Linked DNA regions of Schizosaccharomyces pombe. The gene in region 1 interacts genetically with each later gene. Each region holds a gene or a part of one and is shown in the gene's direction. Other genes may lie near its edges.

The links.
Region 2: mutations in ngg1 (region 1) and hrp3 together harm fitness more than expected from each alone (negative genetic interaction), as found in Schizosaccharomyces pombe (2 studies listed by BioGRID).
Region 3: mutations in ngg1 (region 1) and dad1 together harm fitness more than expected from each alone (negative genetic interaction), as found in Schizosaccharomyces pombe (2 studies listed by BioGRID).
Region 4: mutations in ngg1 (region 1) and mga2 together harm fitness more than expected from each alone (negative genetic interaction), as found in Schizosaccharomyces pombe (2 studies listed by BioGRID).

The regions. Positions count from the first base shown.
Region 1 is NC_003423.3:1,586,078-1,590,343, reverse strand, and holds ngg1 (SAGA complex subunit Ngg1/Ada3), read left to right. Parts: upstream 1-1,945; 5' UTR 1,946-2,001; coding exon 2,002-3,657; 3' UTR 3,658-3,752; downstream 3,753-4,266. Other genes in the region: upstream binding transcription factor, RNA polymerase I specific, Hmo1, read right to left, coding at 1-763, 956-985; transcription factor TFIIA complex large subunit Toa1, read right to left, coding at 3,927-4,266. UniProt on the Schizosaccharomyces pombe protein: Component of the transcription coactivator SAGA complex. SAGA acts as a general cofactor required for essentially all RNA polymerase II transcription. At the promoters, SAGA is required for transcription pre-initiation complex (PIC) recruitment.
Region 2 is NC_003424.3:5,375,820-5,383,459, forward strand, and holds hrp3 (CHD family chromatin remodeller Hrp3), read left to right. Parts: upstream 1-2,004; 5' UTR 2,005-2,107; exon of another isoform or gene 2,108-2,596; intron 2,597-2,602; 5' UTR 2,603-2,607; coding exon 2,608-2,799; intron 2,800-2,856; coding exon 2,857-6,831; 3' UTR 6,832-7,094; downstream 7,095-7,640. Other genes in the region: U1 snRNP-associated protein Prp40, read left to right, coding at 1-1,880; proteasome receptor/ubiquitin ligase adaptor Dss1, read left to right, coding at 7,274-7,304, 7,411-7,452, 7,493-7,635.
Region 3 is NC_003424.3:3,088,234-3,091,340, reverse strand, and holds dad1 (DASH complex subunit Dad1), read left to right. Parts: upstream 1-2,000; 5' UTR 2,001-2,015; coding exon 2,016-2,288; 3' UTR 2,289-2,557; downstream 2,558-3,107. Other genes in the region: taz1 (telomere length regulator), read left to right, coding at 1-104; Smc5-6 complex non-SMC SUMO ligase subunit Nse2, read left to right, coding at 644-808, 1,056-1,178, 1,294-1,758. UniProt on the Schizosaccharomyces pombe protein: Component of the DASH complex that connects microtubules with kinetochores and couples microtubule depolymerisation to chromosome movement; it is involved in retrieving kinetochores to the spindle poles before their re-orientation on the spindle in early mitosis and allows microtubule depolymerization to pull chromosomes apart and resist detachment during anaphase.
Region 4 is NC_003424.3:4,123,169-4,129,322, forward strand, and holds mga2 (IPT/TIG ankyrin repeat-containing transcription regulator), read left to right. Parts: upstream 1-1,914; 5' UTR 1,915-2,043; coding exon 2,044-5,499; 3' UTR 5,500-5,637; downstream 5,638-6,154. Other genes in the region: protein Gid5, read left to right, coding at 1-1,350.

The DNA.
Region 1 (4,266 bases):
CTGGTTCAACATTGCTTGTAGGTACTGTTGAACGGGTGTGCTTTCGCTTCGGTTTCTTAGCATGCTGTTCTTTAATGTCAGGAGTGGCTCTAGAAGCTTGAGCCAATGGTCTGGTTTCTGAAAAGTCTATCAAATCTTTTTTAGTGGGAGAGGATAAGTCTTCTGAAGGTTTAGTAGAAGTTTCCTCAGCCGTAACTCGACTATCAGCAACTGACGCATTTTCTTTAGAAGCATTATAAGCAGCCATTTCTTCTTCGTAGGCTTCTCGAAGTTTAGAAGCTTCTTCTTCGTAAGTTTTCCGATCATCTTCAGATAGCGAGCCCCACTTTTCATGCATCGCTTTATTCACCTCTTTAACATCGTTACTCTTCTCGCCCAAAGACTCCTTGATTTCCGATCGTTGGTTCTTCTGAAAGAGATTATAGGCTGATGGAGGGCGCTTTGGTTGTGCAGGATCCCTAGCCTTGCGCTTGTTTGGGGTCATGGAGGCTACAGCTTCCGACGTATCGACTGCGGAGGTTGCCTCAACAGGAGCTACTGCTGCAGGAGTAGCTTTCTTAGGTGAAGTTGCTTTTTTAGAAGGAGACTCAATTGCCATATTAATCTCTTTCTTCGCATTTGATGGATCAGTGACGGCTGGCTTAAAAGGTTTCGAAACCTCGGACTTCTCTCCTAATATCGAAGGAAGTGATTCTTCGATCTCACGGCATGCGGTTAAAGCTAACTGAAAAGCTTCCGCCAACCTTGTGAAAGAACCAGAAATCTAAGACGGCAATTTGTTAGATAAAAACCAAAAACCAAGCGGATAACTAAAGAAAATTTTGCATTTAATCATCAAACTTTTCAACCAATTAAAAAAGATTATTTTTAGTAAATACTTGATTTAAATCAATTTTTTGAATCATAAAACATTATGTTGGTTCAAAACACCAAAACTCTTTAAAATATCACATACCTTTTCCAGTTGGGTTGAGTTTTGAGCCATCGTACTACTTAAAAAATATTCAAAGTTTCTAATACAACTAAAGCTTCAATACGATGGCAAATACAGGAAATGGTGGCTGACCTACCGGGGTGATGGCGGGAATTTAAATCTTAGCGGTTATGACGGTGGGTGGTTGGTTAATGCTGGAAATGCGAAGCAGATGAAATTGCTTCAGTTAAACCCACCAGTTCGGTTGAGCTTTCTTCACATTTTATTATTATTACAGTTTATAGTTATTTAATATATGTGACAATTGTTATTGTTGAAATTACGATGGTTCAGTGAGATATTTCTTCATGTGATTCTGTTGAGTGATATAATGAAAATTACAAAAGACAATTGTAGTAAATTAAATATATAATAGGAAAATATGAGAAAATCTACAACCGAGAAAAATTTTTTTTTTTTTTTTTTTTTTTTTTCTTTTTCTAATCTCAATCCACTAAATTTGCTGAGACTTACAGTCAAATAATGTCCCATAAATGGAAAGAATAGCAATAAAAACATCCAAAATTTAAAAAAAAAAAATGATAAAACATTTTCTTGTAAATATTTACCTCTTAATTAAGTATAAACAAATCCTATTCCATTGACTCGTAGATCTATTTCATGATATCTTGTGAAGCTGCAACTCTGTTTATCTAGTTCTTGCGCTAGACCAATTGGTTTAGAAACTATTAAATTTAAGATAAATTTAATTTTAAACAAACCAAAGATCACTTATAGTGTTCAAAATACTTCGCAAAGCATATTGCTTTTGCGATGGATTCACTATGAATAAAATATATTGCTGTTTAATTTGGTTTGAGATATCATATTCGTAGCAATTCAACGCTGTTCTTGATTAATATTTCTGAGCACCGTTATAACAATGTAACAAGTGGTATACTAGACTTCGCTAAAAGTACGCCATCATCGAAATCCGGTATAAAAAATCACCACCTCAGTAATGAATTTTTTCGGGGGAGAGAGACATATGTAAATGTTGTATTGTTCACGATTTAAATTTTTTTGGGATGTCCTCCGAACAACAAAATGAAGCTGATTCGAAACCCGCGGTGATTCCTCAATGTTTTAAAATTGAAAATCAATACGAGACCTTTTCCCGTCTGAGTGAAACGTCAACTCCTGGTGTTGTACCGTCTGTGTCGACATTATGGCGGCTTCTGTTTGAGCTGCAAAAAATGATTGAGTGTGAACCGTCTTGTGTAGAATATTTTCGCCAGCGCAAAGAAGAGTTAGAGTCTCATGTCGATTCTGAAATAGAAACCTCAAAAGACGAATCGTCGGTTAATAAAGTGGAAGAAAAAGTAGAAGAATTTAAAGAAGACAACGTTGAACAAGAAATAAAGCAAAAGCGTTCTCTTTCCGAAAGTCCACAAGAGTCTATGCTAGAAAAAGTTTCCAAGAAGCCCAAAGTTTCAGAGGCCCATAATGAAGAAATCAGTCCCGAAAATGTGGAAACAATTGAGAATGAATTAGATTTACCGGTTAAGGGTAAAGATGAACAGACAACTGGGTTGGTATATAAAAACGCAAACGATCTTCTAACCGGTTCATTACTATCTTTCATTGTTGACGATTCCTTCTCTTATGAACAAAAAAAGAAGCTTTTATGTGTAGATTCCTTTCCAACCAGTGATGTACGATCGTTGGTGGCAGGAACTCCGGCGACTGATGATTTTTCTCACAACAAGCCAAATAACCAGATTTCAATATCAACCTTTTATTCGTCACTTGACCCATATTTTCGTGCTTTCAATGATGATGATATTGCTTTTTTAAAAAAAGGATTTGACGTTTCGTCTTCCTATAATATTCCTCCTTTGGGGGAACGCTATTACGATTTAACTCCGGAAGATGAAATGACCAACCTGTGTGCTAACTCAATTTACCAAAACCTGCAAACCTCTGCTCAAGGATCCCTTGAAGCTTTTAATGAGGCAGATACCGTCTCTGAGGAAGTTAGGTGTGGTCCACTCACTGAACGACTAATGGCTTCATTAATTCCTTGCTACACGCAGAATGATGAGGAGCAAAAACCTTCTATTGCTGTTGGCGAATTTGCGGAAACCGATTCTGGATCCGAGAAAAGCAAAATTGGTACAAGCATTGATGGAATCGAGTCAGGAAATAATGAATATACAGAACAACCGGATATACAAGAGTCGAGTCTTTCAATTTGTGAGGACCGCCTTCGTTACACCCTAAAACAACTAGGTATACTTTATGATGGCGATGTAGATTGGTCAAAGCGACAGGATGATGAAATTTCAGCTACCTTAAGGAGTTTGAATGCTCGTTTGAAGGTAGTTTCTGATGAAAACGAAAAAATGAGGAATGCGCTGTTACAGATGCTTCCTGAGGAAATGGCATTTCAAGAATTCCAAAATGTGATGGATGATCTAGATAAACAAATCGAACAAGCGTATGTCAAACGTAACAGAAGTTTGAAGGTTAAAAAGAAACGTATTGTTACTGATAAAATTGGCTCTTCAGCTACGAGCGGCTCTTTTCCTGTCATCAAATCATTGATGGACAAGCGCTCAATGTGGTTAGAAAAGCTTCAACCTTTATTTCAGGATAAGCTTACGCAACACCTTGGTTCGCCAACTTCTATTTTTAATGATTTATCGGACCACACTACATCTAATTACAGTACATCTGTATGAAGCGTTTAAAATTTGAAAGTGTATATACTGTAATTCTATCATTGTGATCTAATTTAATTGCTTGCTTTAGTGAATAAAATTTGCATGAAATAATAATAATACTTTTAACCGTAGAATAGATTGATGTGCTCACTAAAATATGATAGGAAGATTACTTAAATGCACTTATAAACATGATTCATGAAGAAAACAAAAAGGCCAAAAAGAAGAATGATTGATAGATAAAATACGTCCATCACTTTTTGAAGCAAAACACCTAAAGTAAAATTTTAAATCCATTCAAACTCACCATTCGCCTTGAAAAATAAGTAATCTTTTCCATTAACGCCAACTACGCCATCTCTGAACACACATTTCCATTTATTTTTGTGGTGGTTCACTTTGTCATAAAGACAAAGAACGATAGCCTGTCCAATATCAGAACCTTCTTCAGTTTCGGGAGCCTCATCTGAATCAGGATCGTCTAAATCTGAGTTAATTGCTTCGTCAGAAGGCGTATCAACAGGTGGCTTTTTTTCATCTTCGTTATCTTCTATAGTGCCGTCAATTTGCAAAATGCGATTCTTTTTCAAAACTTCATAAATTTCAGCATCAGCTTTCTGTGCAATA
Region 2 (7,640 bases), on another chromosome or scaffold:
AAAAGCTTTCGAAACTAGCTTGGAAAGAATATGCCACCGCTGATGGCAAAAAGTATTGGTATAATGTCAATACCCGTGAATCAGTGTGGGATATTCCTGATGAATATAAAGCTGCCCTTGTTGATGAACCGGAACAGCAAAAAAAGGCTTTGTCGTCTAAAATCAAAAGCAATGACAACAAGCCAGCTGTTCAAAGCATTCAACGGCATGGTCCGGATGTTGCTGCTCCTTCAAGTCAACCAGCTAAAGATCAAAGCCAACAAATTTCACAAGGCAGTCATAAACGAACTATAAACTTTGTTCAACAAAAGGATAAGCGCCAAAAACGTTCTAATGATTATCAGCACGAAAACTATGATACCTATGAAGCCGCAGAGCGCGCTTTCTTTAAATTTTTAGACTCTCATAATGTCAACCCAAGCTGGACTTGGGAGCAGACTGTCCGAGAGCTTTGTGATGCTAAGGGCTATTATGTCATGAAGGATCCTTGGCATCGGAAATGTGCTTTCGATGCGTACATCTTAAACTATTTGACCGATCAAAGTGATGCAGAAAAGAACCGAGTAACTAAGATTAGGAAGGAGTTTATTGAGATGCTAAAAAGTAGTGATAAAATTCATTCTTATACTTTGTGGCGTACTGTGAAGAATGAATTTTCTTCTCATCCTGCTTTTAACGCTACTTCTTCTGAAACTGAACAACAACAACTATTTTTTGAATATAAGCAAAAGCTTTTAGAGGATGAAAAGCAGTTGGAAAAGGATCGCAGAAAGGAAGCATTGGATGATTTTTGTTCGCTTTTGCGAAACATGAATTTCGAGCCTTACACCCGCTGGAGCGTTGCGCAAGCAAAATTTGATCAAGATCCAAGGTATACAAGGAATTCAAATATGAAATATCTTTCTAAATTAGATGCTCTTGTAGCATTTGAAGATCATGTTAAGCATTTGGAACGCGAATATATTCTTGACAAACAAAAGCAGAAGAAAGAAAAGCATCGTATAGAAAGGAAAAATCGTGATGCCTTTCGTGCGCTATTACAAGACTTACGCGTGCAAAAGAAGATTACATTACGCACGAAGTGGAAAGAATTATATCCCATAATCAAGGATGATCCAAGATATCTTAACTTACTAGGGCAATCTGGCTCTACACCATTAGATTTATTTTGGGATACGATCGTTGATTTGGAGAATATGTATCGGGAAAAGCGTAATTTGGTTTTGGACTGTCTTGAAGTATTGCAAATATCTGTGGATGACACATCTAATATTCCTGAAATTATAGCAAGGTTATCAGAAAAGCTTAAAGATCGAGAGGAAAGTGAGGCAGTAACTGAAGACCTTATTGAAGAAGTTGTTAATCGATTACGTGATAAAGCGATCCACAAAAAAGCTGAGGAAAAGCGTGCTGATGAACGACGCATTCGAAGGAAAATTGATAATCTCAGAAGTGCCATTAAATACCTTAAACCTCCAATTTCTGCCGATGCTTCTTACGATGAAATTAGACCTTTAATTTCTATTCTACCGGAATTTGCTGCGCTCCATTCCGAGGAACACAGGATGGCTGCTTTTGACAAATATATAAGACGGCTTCGAGAAAAACGGGAATTGGAAAAGCAATACCAAAACAGAAGAGGTTATTATGATGTCGGTAAAGATGAAAGTTATTTAGCGAATAGTGCCCGACCACATAGCGGATACGAAGATGGAAGGTTGGAATATTCTGCTGACTTAGCGTCAAAAAGTAATAGGAATGAAATTAATACGATGCAGGATGTACAGGAAAATTCAATCTCTCATGTTACCGCTACACAACCGGCTGTTAAAAATATTGTTGATGATGCAGAATCTAGTGAAGAAGGTGAAATTCGTTAGTATTCAAGTTAGAAATTTAATTGTTAGTGCGTTTAATACACATGCATTTTAATGTTCTCTCAACTCGCTTTTTGTATTCATACAGTTTGATTACCTTTAGTAGCGGATACAGCCTGTAGCTATTTGAACCTCTACCACCAGTACCTCAAAAATTGTTTTTGTAACAAAACTAGCAAGTTGCTATTAAAATAGCAAAATACTGCTATAAGCGTTCTATTTAATAACGCGTAAGTAAATTTTTATTAAATTTTGTTGCAGCCACAGTTCGTTTTCCGAATTTGACGCTGAATATGTGAATGATCCACGTGTCGCATTTTTTTGTTAAACCTACATTGTTCAATGCACTGAATGTAGCTCTCTTTTTTTAAAAACCTTCTTTCTTATTATGTTTTGCTTGTTTCTCTTGTGATACAATCTTTTTGGTGGCATTCGACCTTTTATTCAAAATTGCTCTTTCTTCGAAAATGAACGATATAGTGCTTCCTATCGAAAAGATACGGGAGTTAATATGTGTTCTTTATTTAAATCTGTTCGGATCTCGTCTAAATATAGTCGTTAGTCAAGAGTTATAAATATTCACATTTAAAGTGGCATCTGGCAGTTCTCAGTTAACTAGAAGTTGGATGGAAGCCTATTACATATTTCACAATTATTCAGCATTTCAATTTCGGAAAAGTTTTGCAATAAGAAATTTGCGAAATTGGTTCTAACTTCTGTTTTAGTTGATATGAGTACAAGTGCTATAGCACTTGCTTTGTCATCATCTAAGGCTATTGAGCAGCTGGATCACGTTCAAACTGAAACCCCTAATCTTAAGCAGGAAATGTCCGAATCCCCTTCGAATAGCGGCGTAGCCTCCAAGCGCAAATTACAATCTACTGAATGGCTCGACCCAGAGCTTTACGGTCTTCGACGTTCTGTATGTCTCACATTATTTTATTCATTATGAAACTTACTTAGATGCTAATCATTATAGGGTCGCACTCGTAGTAATCCAGGAAGATATGTAGACACTGATGATCAAGAAGATGTGTTCCCATCCAAGCATCGTAAAGGTACTAGAAATGGTTCATCTTTTTCTCGTCATCGAACAATTCGCGATTTAGACGATGAAGCTGAATCTGTCACCTCTGAGGAAAGTGAGTCAGATGATAGTTCTTATGGCGGAACTCCCAAAAAGCGATCTCGGCAAAAAAAATCAAACACCTACGTTCAAGATGAAATTCGATTTTCTTCTAGAAATAGTAAAGGTGTTAACTATAACGAAGACGCGTATTTTGAATCGTTTGAAGAAGAAGAGGAAGAAGAGATGTATGAGTACGCAACTGAAGTTTCTGAAGAACCTGAAGATACACGAGCTATAGATGTCGTTTTAGATCATAGACTTATTGAAGGACACGATGGCTCTACACCTTCTGAAGATTATGAGTTTTTAATTAAATGGGTTAATTTTTCTCATCTTCATTGTACATGGGAACCTTACAATAACATTTCTATGATCAGAGGATCTAAAAAGGTCGACAATCACATTAAGCAAGTCATACTTCTTGATCGAGAAATTCGAGAAGATCCGACCACTACGCGTGAAGACATTGAAGCAATGGATATTGAAAAAGAGAGAAAGCGTGAAAATTACGAGGAATATAAGCAGGTAGACAGAATTGTTGCCAAACACTTAAACTCCGATGGCTCAGTTGAATACTTAGTGAAATGGAAGCAGCTGTTATATGATTTTTGCACATGGGAAGCTTCCTCAATTATTGAGCCTATTGCTGCCACGGAAATTCAGGCATTTCAAGAAAGAGAAGAAAGTGCTCTTAGTCCATCAAGAGGTACAAACTATGGTAATTCGCGTCCTAAGTATCGAAAACTGGAGCAACAGCCTTCGTATATAACCGGTGGTGAGCTTCGTGACTTTCAGCTTACAGGCGTCAACTGGATGGCATATCTTTGGCATAAAAATGAAAATGGGATTTTGGCCGATGAAATGGGTCTCGGTAAGACAGTCCAAACTGTGGCTTTTCTTTCATATCTTGCACATTCTTTAAGACAGCATGGACCTTTTCTTGTAGTTGTTCCACTTTCTACAGTTCCTGCCTGGCAAGAGACATTAGCTCTTTGGGCTTCTGATATGAATTGTATAAGTTACCTTGGAAATACCACCTCAAGGCAAGTAATAAGGGATTACGAATTTTATGTTGATGGAACTCAGAAAATAAAGTTCAACTTGCTTCTAACTACTTATGAGTATGTACTCAAAGATCGCTCGGTGCTTAGTAATATAAAATGGCAATATATGGCAATTGACGAAGCTCATCGATTAAAAAACAGTGAATCGTCACTTTATGAAGCACTTTCTCAGTTCAAGAACTCAAATCGATTACTTATAACTGGAACACCATTACAAAATAATATTCGTGAGCTTGCGGCTTTGGTAGACTTCCTGATGCCAGGAAAGTTTGAGATTCGTGAGGAAATTAATTTAGAAGCACCAGATGAGGAGCAGGAAGCTTATATTAGAAGTTTACAGGAGCATTTACAACCCTACATTTTACGAAGATTAAAGAAAGACGTTGAGAAATCTCTTCCTTCTAAGTCTGAACGTATCCTTCGTGTTGAGCTTTCTGACTTACAAATGTACTGGTACAAAAATATTTTAACTCGCAATTACCGTGTCCTTACTCAAAGCATAAGTTCGGGAAGTCAAATATCTTTACTAAACATAGTTGTGGAGTTGAAAAAGGCAAGTAATCATCCTTACTTATTTGACGGAGTAGAAGAGTCATGGATGCAAAAAATAAACTCTCAAGGAAGACGAGATGAAGTCTTAAAAGGTTTAATTATGAACAGCGGGAAAATGGTGTTACTTGACAAACTTCTATCACGTCTTCGTCGAGACGGCCACCGCGTTTTAATTTTTAGTCAAATGGTTCGTATGCTTGACATTCTTGGTGATTATCTTTCTTTGAGGGGATATCCACATCAGAGACTGGATGGCACTGTCCCTGCTGCTGTACGAAGAACTTCAATAGATCATTTTAATGCACCAAACAGCCCAGATTTTGTGTTTTTATTATCCACACGAGCTGGAGGATTAGGTATTAATTTAATGACTGCTGATACAGTTATTATTTTTGATTCCGATTGGAACCCTCAAGCTGATTTACAAGCTATGGCACGTGCGCATCGCATTGGTCAGAAAAATCATGTTATGGTATACAGGCTTCTTTCCAAAGATACGATTGAAGAAGATGTCTTGGAACGTGCACGTCGTAAAATGATTCTTGAATATGCAATTATTTCATTAGGTGTTACAGACAAGCAAAAGAATTCCAAAAATGATAAATTTTCTGCTGAAGAGCTTAGCGCTATTTTGAAATTTGGAGCTTCTAATATGTTTAAAGCAGAGAATAATCAAAAGAAGCTTGAGGATATGAATTTAGATGAAATTTTGGAACATGCCGAAGATCATGATACTTCCAATGATGTGGGTGGAGCCAGCATGGGTGGTGAAGAGTTTTTGAAACAGTTCGAAGTTACAGACTATAAGGCAGATGTATCTTGGGATGATATTATACCCCTAACTGAACGTGAGAAGTTTGAAGAGGAAGACCGCTTAAGAGAAGAGGAAGAAGCGCTTAAGCAAGAAATTGAGCTTAGTAGTAGACGAGGTAATCGTCCTTATCCTAGCTCTGCGGTGGAATCCCCATCCTACTCTGGAACTTCTGAAAGGAAGAGCAAAAAGCAAATGCTTAAAGATGAGGTTTTACTGGAAAAGGAAATTCGGTTGCTTTATCGTGCTATGATTAGATATGGAAGCCTTGAGCATCGCTACAATGACATTGTTAAATATGCTGATCTTACTACGCAAGATGCTCACGTAATAAAAAAGATTGCAGCTGACTTAGTAACCGCTTCACGCAAGGCTGTATCAGCAGCCGAGAAGGACTTATCTAATGATCAGTCTAATAATAAGTCATCTCGTAAAGCGCTGCTCATTACATTTAAAGGTGTAAAAAATATAAATGCTGAAACATTGGTACAAAGGCTAAATGATCTTGATATTCTTTATGATGCTATGCCAACGTCAGGATATTCTAACTTCCAAATTCCAATGCACGTTAGATCTGTTCACGGCTGGTCCTGTCAGTGGGGACCCCGAGAAGATTCCATGTTGCTTTCTGGAATTTGTAAGCATGGATTTGGAGCTTGGTTAGAAATTCGAGATGATCCAGAACTCAAAATGAAAGACAAGATCTTTTTAGAAGACACAAAACAAACAGACAACTCTGTCCCCAAAGATAAAGAAAATAAAGAGAAAAAGGTACCTTCAGCTGTGCATTTGGTTCGTCGAGGTGAATACCTACTTAGTGCTTTACGTGAGCATCACCAAAATTTTGGCATAAAATCAAGCCCCGCTATTAGTACTAATGGAAAAACTCAACCTAAGAAGCAGACGGCTAATCGCAGACAAAGTGGCAAGCCTAACGTTAAATCTGCGCAAAAAATAGAGAGTGCAACTAGGACACCATCGCCTGCAATTTCAGAATCTCGTAAGAAACCTTCTTCTAAAGACACGAAGATTGAAACACCTAGTAGGGAACAGTCTCGCAGCCAGACAGCTTCACCCGTCAAATCTGAAAAAGACGATGGTAATGTAAGTCTAAATGCTGAACAAAAGGCACGCTGCAAAGAACTGATGTATCCAGTCCGTAAGCATATGAAAAGACTTCGGAAAGATTCTAGTGGGCTTGGACGCGCGGAGTTGGTGAAGTTACTTACTGAGTGTTTGACAACGATTGGAAAGCATATTGAAAAAACTGTCAATGATACACCCTCCGAAGAAAAAGCTACTGTTAGGAAGAATTTATGGATGTTTGCATGTTACTTTTGGCCGAAGGAGGAGGTTAAATATACCAGCTTGATCAGCATGTATGAAAAGATGAAGTAGATTTTAGCCTGTCATACAAAAGCCAATTTGTTTCTTCATTTTTCATCCGGAATATTTTAGGTTTGAAGCTCGAATATGTTTATCTTTTACAGTCTTCAATTTTGATTGCTACATTTCAAAGATCACTAAATTCTAGTCTAAAAATCGTTTCTTATTGTACCTTTAATTATAATGTTAATAAACCCTGCATTTCAAATCTTGACTTTAGGAAATCCTCCGGTATTCAGAACATAGAGTCAGCATAGATAAGAATAATCCAGTAATACAATTTGTTTTTAATTGAAATATCAATGGCAAACTGCTATTTATTAGTCTGCAACTTTATGCAGTTTGTAAATATAATAGTGTAACTCAGTAGACATCGTTACCAGTGAAAAGTTCATTCAAACATCACAGTACGGCAGGGTTCACCTTTCACACCAAATCACGTTTATAAATTAGAATGTCTCGTGCGGCCTTACCAAGCTTAGAAAGTACGTTACAAATTATTTAGAGTGGCTTTCGAGTACTATTTATTCGATATGCTAATGTCTATGATTTTTTCGTTGGCCTAAAGACGTTTACTAACATAATGCTTAGACCTTGAGGATGATGATGAGTTTGAAGATTTCGCAACAGAAAGTAAGTACTTTTAAAGAAATAATTATTTAACATCAAAAAGATTGGCCTATGAAAGATACAGAGCTTGATACTGGAGATGATACGCTATGGGAAAACAATTGGGACGATGAGGACATTGGAGACGATGATTTTTCTGTTCAATTACAAGCAGAGTTAAAAAAGAAGGGTGTTGCCGCCAATTAAGATAT
Region 3 (3,107 bases), on another chromosome or scaffold:
AAAATGTTACTGTGGGCCAGGCCTATTGTGAACTTCATAAAATACCTTACATAGAGGCAACTCCGCCACTTTTACGGGAAGAGCTTGTTAATTATCAATCTTAATTTTTCGTCTCCGGATAGAGTTTGTTCATGATTGCTTTTTTAATGAATAATATTGACAAGACTCGGATAGTTTTGTTAATCGTGTTTTACTTTACTACTAATCTATGGAATATTTTGAAAATAACATAATTTAATTTATACATTTCACGGCCTTAATCATCCTTTATTGGTTTATCATATTGAATAGTTGGTTTAGTAATAGAGGTACTAAAAGTCAAGCGTTAATTGTCCGAAGTATGCATTATAAATTCTAATTCCAAATGAGAATATTTCATAACCCATTCATTTGTATTAAACGTGACAGTAAATAAGAATTTATTTAGTCTTTATACATATGCCATCAATCTTCATAAAAACGTACTGGAGTTTAAATTTTAAAACGTGGTTATTACCCTTGCTTAAAAAACATTCTTTTTTTATTTAAGGAAATAAGTGTTGTGGCATTTAGTTTTCATATGCAATTAATAGGTTTTCAATCCCAAATTGCGTTGTCTACTAATTAAACGTCGTAACTACTTCTTTCTCGAATGGAATCGTAAATGAGTGAAGCACAATTAAAAACTTCCTTGGAGGCTTTAAGTCAAAATTTATTACCTGGAAACCAAAATCATTGCAGTTTCGACTTCCAATTGAAGGAAATTGACGATTCAATTAAACAGGTGATAAAATGTGCTCTAGTTGCTGCTGAGATAAAAAATAATGAGGTATGTGTACCATTATTACGAAAGATAATGGAAAAAATTAATATGAATTGCTTTTAAAACTCGAAAGTGGTGTTATGTCGAGATACAGTTTTTTAAAAAGAAGTTCGCTGTACAAATATACATACAAAAACATTGTTTAACTAATATTTTTCTTCCTCTTATTTCCGGCTATTGAGAGAGAGCCTAAAATAGACATAATATGACATGCTGCTTACTTTATGACTTCTGACTAACACTTGCCTTTTAGTGTTTGGACATGCTTGATAGCGGGATCCGAGAGCTGTTGGATGCAAAGCAGAGATTGTTATTGATGCAGCAATCGGTGGATACATTGGCTAACAAAACCAGTGAAAATATAAGTGATTTTGAAGTACGTACCACGGAAATGACTTTCCTACTTTTTCTATTATATGTAGATGAAGTAAAAACATCAATTTAGACGTATTTTTTTACTGTTTCATATTCAATTGTTCTAACAAAATTAGAATAAAAGTTTGTTGGATATTTATACACAAATTTTTAAGGAACTCATTCAAGAATACGAAGAAAAATCCGACTATGGTAAATATGGCACACAAGGAGAATACATTGAATTTAAAAAAACCATATGGCATGAGCAAAATACAGACGGTTCTGACTTTCCTTCTATGAAAACATTTTTTAATGTCATGAACACTGAAGAACAGGAAGCAGATGAAGTGATGGTATATTCAGCTACCTTTGATAACAGATGCCCTTTAACTTTACAACCAATTGTTCACCCAATATTATCGACAGCCTGTAATCATTTTTATGAAAAAGATGCTATTTTGTCTCTGTTAAATCCAACTTGTGTATGCCCTGTTGTAGGATGTGAAGCTCGTTTACAAAGGTCTTTACTTAAGGAAGATGAGATTCTTGAACGCAGATTACGCCGCGCTCAGGAAATAAGTAATTTAAAAGAAGCTTAGTCCTTTTCTATTTACATTGTAGTACTGATCCGGATTTATTATTATTATTATTATTATTATATTTAATGTATTTGTTTATTCCAACTTGTAAATATGCATAACATGTCTCTTTTGACTAATATTCTATGCTCGTACGGAAGCTTCAATTTTGGCATTTAATTATGAAGATAGTTAAATCTAATATAAGATCTACTTGATTGTAACCTTATGATAAACTTTGGCTCATGCTTGACTTTGACACTAGCCATTAACATACCATGTCCTCAGAAAATATGGATATTACTGAAAACATACAAAATGAGCAAAATAAAGATTTTGATGATATAGATTTTGAAAGAAGGCGTCGTCTTTTGACCTTACAAATTTCAAAAAGTATGAATGAAGTTGTGAATCTTATGTCAGCTCTAAATAAAAATCTTGAAAGCATTAACGGTGTTGGAAAGGAATTTGAAAATGTCGCGTCTCTTTGGAAGGAGTTTCAAAATTCAGTGTTACAGAAGAAAGATCGTGAAATGCTAGATGCACCTTGATGGTCGTTCTTTTCTAAATGTATTTTCATTGCCGCTAAACATATGCCTTAACGCAGTTTGTTTCAAAGAATTTGCATATTAAATTAAATTATTAGTTATTATATGTTTTTTATGAATCTATAAATTTAATAGCGTCCTCAAAAATTGGTCAAAGGTCAGGATTCTTTTAAATTAACTTACATATTACAATACACAAACCTTAAGTCACTTCATTAATAATGTGTTTGTATATATATATTAGTTTTTAATCTTCCTATATTCTTCTAAAAGCTGCCAATTTTTAAATAAGCCGTTCATCGTCTGAGAGGCAGAACAACTGTTGATGTTAATATTTGCATAGTAAACTTTTTCTTTACTACTATACGAATCCTTTTAGAAATTACCATTTTAATGGTATTATTTAAATTATAAAAGGGGTTTAATGCAGTTTAGCATAATAAAAAGGTAAAAGGAATCATAAGTATTCATTTCAATATCTTCTATATAACTATCGTTTTATTCACGACATGAATACCCTGAACCAGTCAGGGTTAAAAAACCGATTTTCAAAGTTTCGGACAAATATAGGCATATTTGAAGTAAAAGTAAAAAAAAACATTAAGACCAATTGATTTTTGCTGACATATATTCAGAATCAAACAGATAACGTCTTAATAAACAAATTATAAATCACAAAATAGCTCCAATAGTCGATAATCCATCTAAACCATATTGGCTAGTTAAATACCTGAAAAGATAAAAAGTTGAGATAGGAGCAAAATTCTGAAAAGGAAACTGCTACACAATATGCTTAGATTAAAAGAAAGCATACAAGCATAA
Region 4 (6,154 bases), on another chromosome or scaffold:
TTTGAATCTCGAGAAGCAAAACAAATCGCTCCTCGTATTCTCGCCATCATAATCAATGAAAACGAAATTATGCAAAAGACGGCTGTAAATGCAGGTTTTATTGATGCTGCCAAATATCTTCTAGAATACGCAACTAAAGAAGAAGAGAATGAAATTAATTTTTTATCCGATGAATTGCAATCCAGCGTTTGTTTTAATCTTCCTGCTACCAAAAAGGAGCAAAAAAACCTAATCTTAGAATCAGTTTTGCTAGCCGTTGCTGCATTAACAACTTCTAAAGATGAATACAGAAAACTAATAGTTGATGCTAAATATTTGCCTGTTATCATTAATGCTTTGAAAATCAATTCTAACAGCGTGAAAAAGGCTGCTTGTGAATGCTTATTAAGTCTCTCGAGAAGCGTTTACATTTTACGTACGGGCCTTGCCGATGCAGACGTGAGCGAACCATTAATAAAGTTGCTTTCTGACCCGGATACTAGAGTCAAATCGACTGCTACGTCTGCCATTTGTAACTTGGTACTTAAGTTTTCTCCTTTGAGAGAGAAATTCCTTACTACAAATTTCATTGATACTTTGATATCAAATATTAGTACGAAAGATAGCAGTCTAAGAAAGAAGACCGTGTGGGTTCTGCGGCATGTTGTATTTGGTGATGATGAGACGATCCAGCTTGAACCTTTAAAAAAGATCGGTGCTTCAAAGCTTGTGGAACTTTGCAATGACGAAGATCTGGGGGTCCAAGAGCAAATGTTGCAAGTGCTGCGAAATTTTACATGTCAGAAAGAAGAAAGCGTGGATTTTCTTTTGAAAATGGTTCCTATGGAGTTGTTAGCAAAAATTTTGCTTGAAAAATTAGAAAGTAAAAATCCTATCCTAATTGAACCCAGTATTTACATTTTGGTGCACATCGCTGCCAGCGATGGTGAGCTTAGGGATTCTATCCTAAGGCAAACCAAACTACTACTATTGGTGAAGGAAATTATGCTACAAGAAGCACAACGTCTCAAGCCCGAGCAAATGTCCACAAATGTGTCATCTCCGGAAAGTGACAGTGAAATGGATTTGCAAGAAGATGATTTTGATAGGGAAATGCGTCCTCCTTTCGATATTTATGAAGAGGACACTTATGAACCAAACTCCGAAATTCTGTTGGCCGGAATTTGGCTCTGTATTAACATTCTATGGCCCAAACAATGTACATCTCCAAGCCAGGAAGATAAGGAAAGAGCAAGTATCTTACAAAATCTCGGATTTGGAGAATGTTTGCAGATGCTACAAAATCACTCATCTCCTGATGTAAGGGAACGTGTCAAAGATGCCTTGATGTACATCAATGTAACCGATTAATTTCTATTACGCTTTTCCGTTGTCTTTGCCGACTTGATTGGAACAGTCTAACAAATCGGAGCCATTTTCGCATTTAGTATTTCTGTATGTATAAATGTGTGCACAACTCTTGCAGCTGAAGTTAACAGGTTGTTGGATTGAAGTACTTTGAGAATGATCGTATATAAAAAGATTTAATGATTTATCAAAACGAATAAAATAAGTATTATGAACATTCAACTTATATGTATGCGGGATAGTGTAAAAACCTATTTAACATTGTAAAAATTTTTTAAGGAAAGTTGTACTTTGACAAGAACAATTTCATTTACATGTATTCTACTAAATTTATCAGAATGTTGGGAATTTTTTTGTTGGTATATAATGCCGAAAGGAAATTAATCGAATATGAAGAAAGTGGCGGAACTAAAAAACAAAACCCACAAACTAATTATTTAAATAAATATAACATAATAACTTGTTAAAATAAGAGTAATACTAGAGAATGTGTGCTCAAGTGGAAAGCATGTAATACTTGCACAACGTGATGGAAGAGATTAGTGTAGTAGCGCAGCGACAGCTTCCAACAACCAACTAATCGAGGAGGAAAGCAAAAGTGAGAATTGAAAAGAAGTAGTACATTAAAGACCTTTAAATTCTTTGAAAGAATTGCCTTTATAAAGGTAGTCTATTGCATTTCAAAGTACTCTCAAGATGAATTTAGAATTTTCTTTTGGAAATTTGATCGCCAAAAATACCGAGAATTCGACTAAGGAAGAAGGAACTTGGGAAGTAAACAAGCTCATGAAATTTAGTTCAGAGGAGGGGAGGTCTTCCTCTGATGATTATATGTTTTCCTCTCCCGATTTTGAAAAAGCCGGAAACGGCGATGCAGAAATGCGTGAATTTTTTAACTTCGATGGATTGCCGGATCAAGGTCTAAATTTGCCTAGTATAGCTCCTCCGTCTTTATCCCATGCCAGTTCACCTAACTTATCGAATTCACAAGATGAAGCGGAATGTTTACCGTCTGATCGTCAGCAAGACTACATCAATCCTAGTTTGCATTTGAACAGAACGGTGTTTCCTACTCCGCAACATTCTATTTCTGATGCTAATTTTCTAGCTAATACCGTTGATCAACCTTTGGGAGATAATCCCATGTTTGGAGAGTCGGATGTTTATCTTTTAAAAATGGATCCTATGAAACAAGCACCTTATGAAGCTGGATTTAATTCTGTAAAGTCATCGGGCGCCATCGAAGATCCATTACAGTTTAGACAGCCGATTACCATGTTGGAAACTCCCTTCAACGAATCTATTAATACTCTTACGCCATATGCCGAAGATTATGCATTTTCCTCTTTAAATACGTCTGCACCGCCTCTTTCTAATAAGGAGTACGCGTTCTCAGTTAATCATTTACCAGCTATCAATGAGCACAAATGGAAATCTCGGGTGGAAACTAACATGCTTTTTGAGTTGCGGATCAAGAGCAACGATAATCAAAGTGTTCCGTTTGAATATCTTCGCTTGCCAAGTTGGGCTCACCGTGAAGACAAAAAGCGTTCTTCGAAACCTCAGCCTTTGCAACCCGATCCGGAGACCGTCATTCATCTTGTACCTACCGTTCTTGCAGGTGACAAAAGCTCAGTTGTTAAGACTTGCTGTACTCGCTGTTTACTTCGAGAAAGGAAGCGCAATGCTCGATCTCAAGCAACAAAGGATGCTTGTATGCCTAACTATACTAAACTGAAGGCTTATGAGCGTAACATGACTGATGCCTCTCCCGAAGAAAAGCAGCAGTTCAGGATCAAGCTCTTAAATCAATTTCCCAAACTTGAAGACATAGATGAAGATAGAATGATAATGGTTTTTACTGGACCTGAGTACGTTCGTTTGCAATTGGATGGAAATGAAAGAGTTGCTCACATCAATGCACGGATTACATGTTACTCGTCTCATCAATCATGCCCTTACTTTCACATCATATGGGACTTATACTCCATGTCACGTTTGGTGGATCGTCTTGTTTTTCCAGAGCCTGTTACCGTTCTTGATGATCATAAAAGTAGAAATCTTACGAAATCAGAAAAGACTGGTAAGAGCAATTCTCAACAAGCTCCTTCAAACCATGTTCTTTCTAAAAGCAATACTGTCCCCAATCTTGTCACTGGTTTCCCTACCCGTTCAGATAATCCACCAAATGAAAAGCGTCGTCGAACATCCTCGAGTGAAAATTCTAGAGCACTCGACATACAACTATCTGCTAGTGACTCGCATTCACCTAATTCGAAAAGCACTTTGAAAAGTGTTGAGGGCTCAGCCTTTAGTATGAGCAAATCCCCTTCTGTGCTGAGTATGACTACCCCAAGCGGCGTAAGTCCTTCCATTTCAAAGAATGGTTTCCATGTTGTTCGAGTTCCCAGCGATGCCGCTGGTTTCCAACAAAGACAACAGCAAGAGGAAGGAGTGCTTGAAGCCCATACAAATGAAAGTGCCCCAATAGCCCCATTCCCTTACTGTACAGATGATTTCTCGTTTTCCGTTGAAGAAAAAAGTAGTGTCAACAACTTGCTTACACAATTTGATGAGGTTGCTAAACCTGATTTTGTAAGTACGCCGATAAAAGAAAATGTTGATTCTTCTTTTATAAACATGACTCCACCTGATGTTTCACATGCTCCCTTAATATCTCGGATTATTCCTAATAAGGGTTCAATCATGGGAGGTTATGAAGTTACAATTCTTGGCGCGAACTTTTTTAATGGATTAGTCTGTTTATTTGGTGACAACCCAGCTGCTGTAACTTTTTCGTGGAGTGAGTCAACGATTATAGCGACTTGTCCTCCTGCAACTAATGCTGGAACCGTTCCTGTAACCTTTCAGAACTATAATTCATCTTCTGAAGCGCCAGTAATGTTTACTTATGAAGATAATTTAGATAATGAACTTTACAAATTAACTGTTCAAGTTTTAGGCTTAAAACTTACTGGATCTATTCAAAACCCATTAACGTTATCCAAAAAATTGTTGAGTTCATGGCGCGACGATTTTGCTCAATATATAACAAATTCTATTAAGCAGCCTCCTAACAGTGAATCTAAAGGTCAGTCTAAAAAAACCTTATTGCATGATAGCAATATGGAATCGCTTAAATCGGTTATTTCGCGGATTGTGAAAAAAGACAGTAATCAGTCTGATGACAGTGTTGAAAGTACTATCCTCGCAGCATTTGCTCTTGTTACAGATACAACGACACCATACCTTTCTGATTTTAGTCTTGTTAACGAATCTGGTAGGTCACTTCTCCACCTTACTGCTGCCTGTGGATTGTCTAATGCTTCGACGTTCTTATGCAACGCAGGATGCGATGTTAACAAAAGGGACGCACTTGGCTATACACCACTGCATTATGCTTCATTGTATGATCATAAAGACATATGTGTTAATTTACTTTCCAACGGTGCCAAGCCTGATGTTATAGGAGCTAGCGGTAAAAAACCGATAGACCTCTCCTCTTCTGAGCCTATAAAACTGGTCTTTAAGGAAGCAAATAATGAACAAGCCCAAAGTATTTCTCGCTCTCTTATTAAGGATTCTGAAGGCTCCATTAATACAAATGAAACCTTAGAATCAACCAGTATTGTTAACGAAATTGAGGAATCTGCTGTTCAGACCAAGTCATATAGTGAAAGTATGTGGAATAAAACTGTTACAATGTTTCCATCGCTTCAAGAACTACCTCAGAATTATATGAGTGAAGTTCCATCCATGATGCAAAAAGCCATGCTGTCAACCTTAAAAAGTATATCGGCCATTCCCGATGATGTACCCCCTCCTTATTCTGAGTTTGCTGATGATACGACAGCGCAAGCTGGTTCTAGTAAAAGAGATAGCGCTATATCTGAAGATCCCGATCATCACAAAAGTGTTTGGTGGTCTTTGAGATGGCAATCTCGGCTTGTTGGTCGTGGAAAATCTACTGCTCTTACTCCTGAAGAAACCAGAGCAATACAGGAGCAGGCAAAGACACTGAAAAAGGCAGGAATGGACTTTATGCTATTCTCTTTCTGGTTACCTGCCCTACTTTTGCTGAGTATCTTTGGTCTTCGAAGCTATGCTCAAATGATCGGGGGATATTTATATCGCTGCATAATTGGCATTTAGGTTTGACGAACAACCATGCATGTTTTTTTCTTTCTTTTAGTTTTATTCTTTTTTGTAGATTATGAGCAAACTACTGTCAAAACTTAGGTATTATGACAATGAAATCGTATATATTATATTCGATTGGATCAATTTTTTATTATATTGAAAGTAATTGCTTATTTTGTAAGTTAAACTTACATGGGTTTAAACGCATAGAGCAGGTTGGCGCTTTTAAAACCAAAATAGATCGTTGCAGGTTTGCTGTTCTGGATCGTGAATGCAATACCTTAGGAAAGTCTTTTAATAAGCTATCGCTTTTTGCATTGCATTCTTTTTCTAAACTGAACGTTAGATTAGCTAAAGTAAGCGTCTTGAGTTTTCGAGATGAACCGCATACATTAAAATTTTTAAGTACCAATTGGCATGAACCGGTATGCGATCTGCTTATTATAATACTAGTAAATCTTGATACTCGGCAAACTCTTTCAATAATAGCCTAGCAGAAACTGGGATATGTCTAAAGTTTTACAACTGCGCTCAGCTTAAGGACTTTACGGCGATCCATTTAATAGCTAGCCATGAACACTCATAACCTCAAGATTGAGGAGTGGGTCATTCTTTTGCTTGATAAAGAAACAAATTCATTATTGGTAAAATAAAACTGAATAACCCT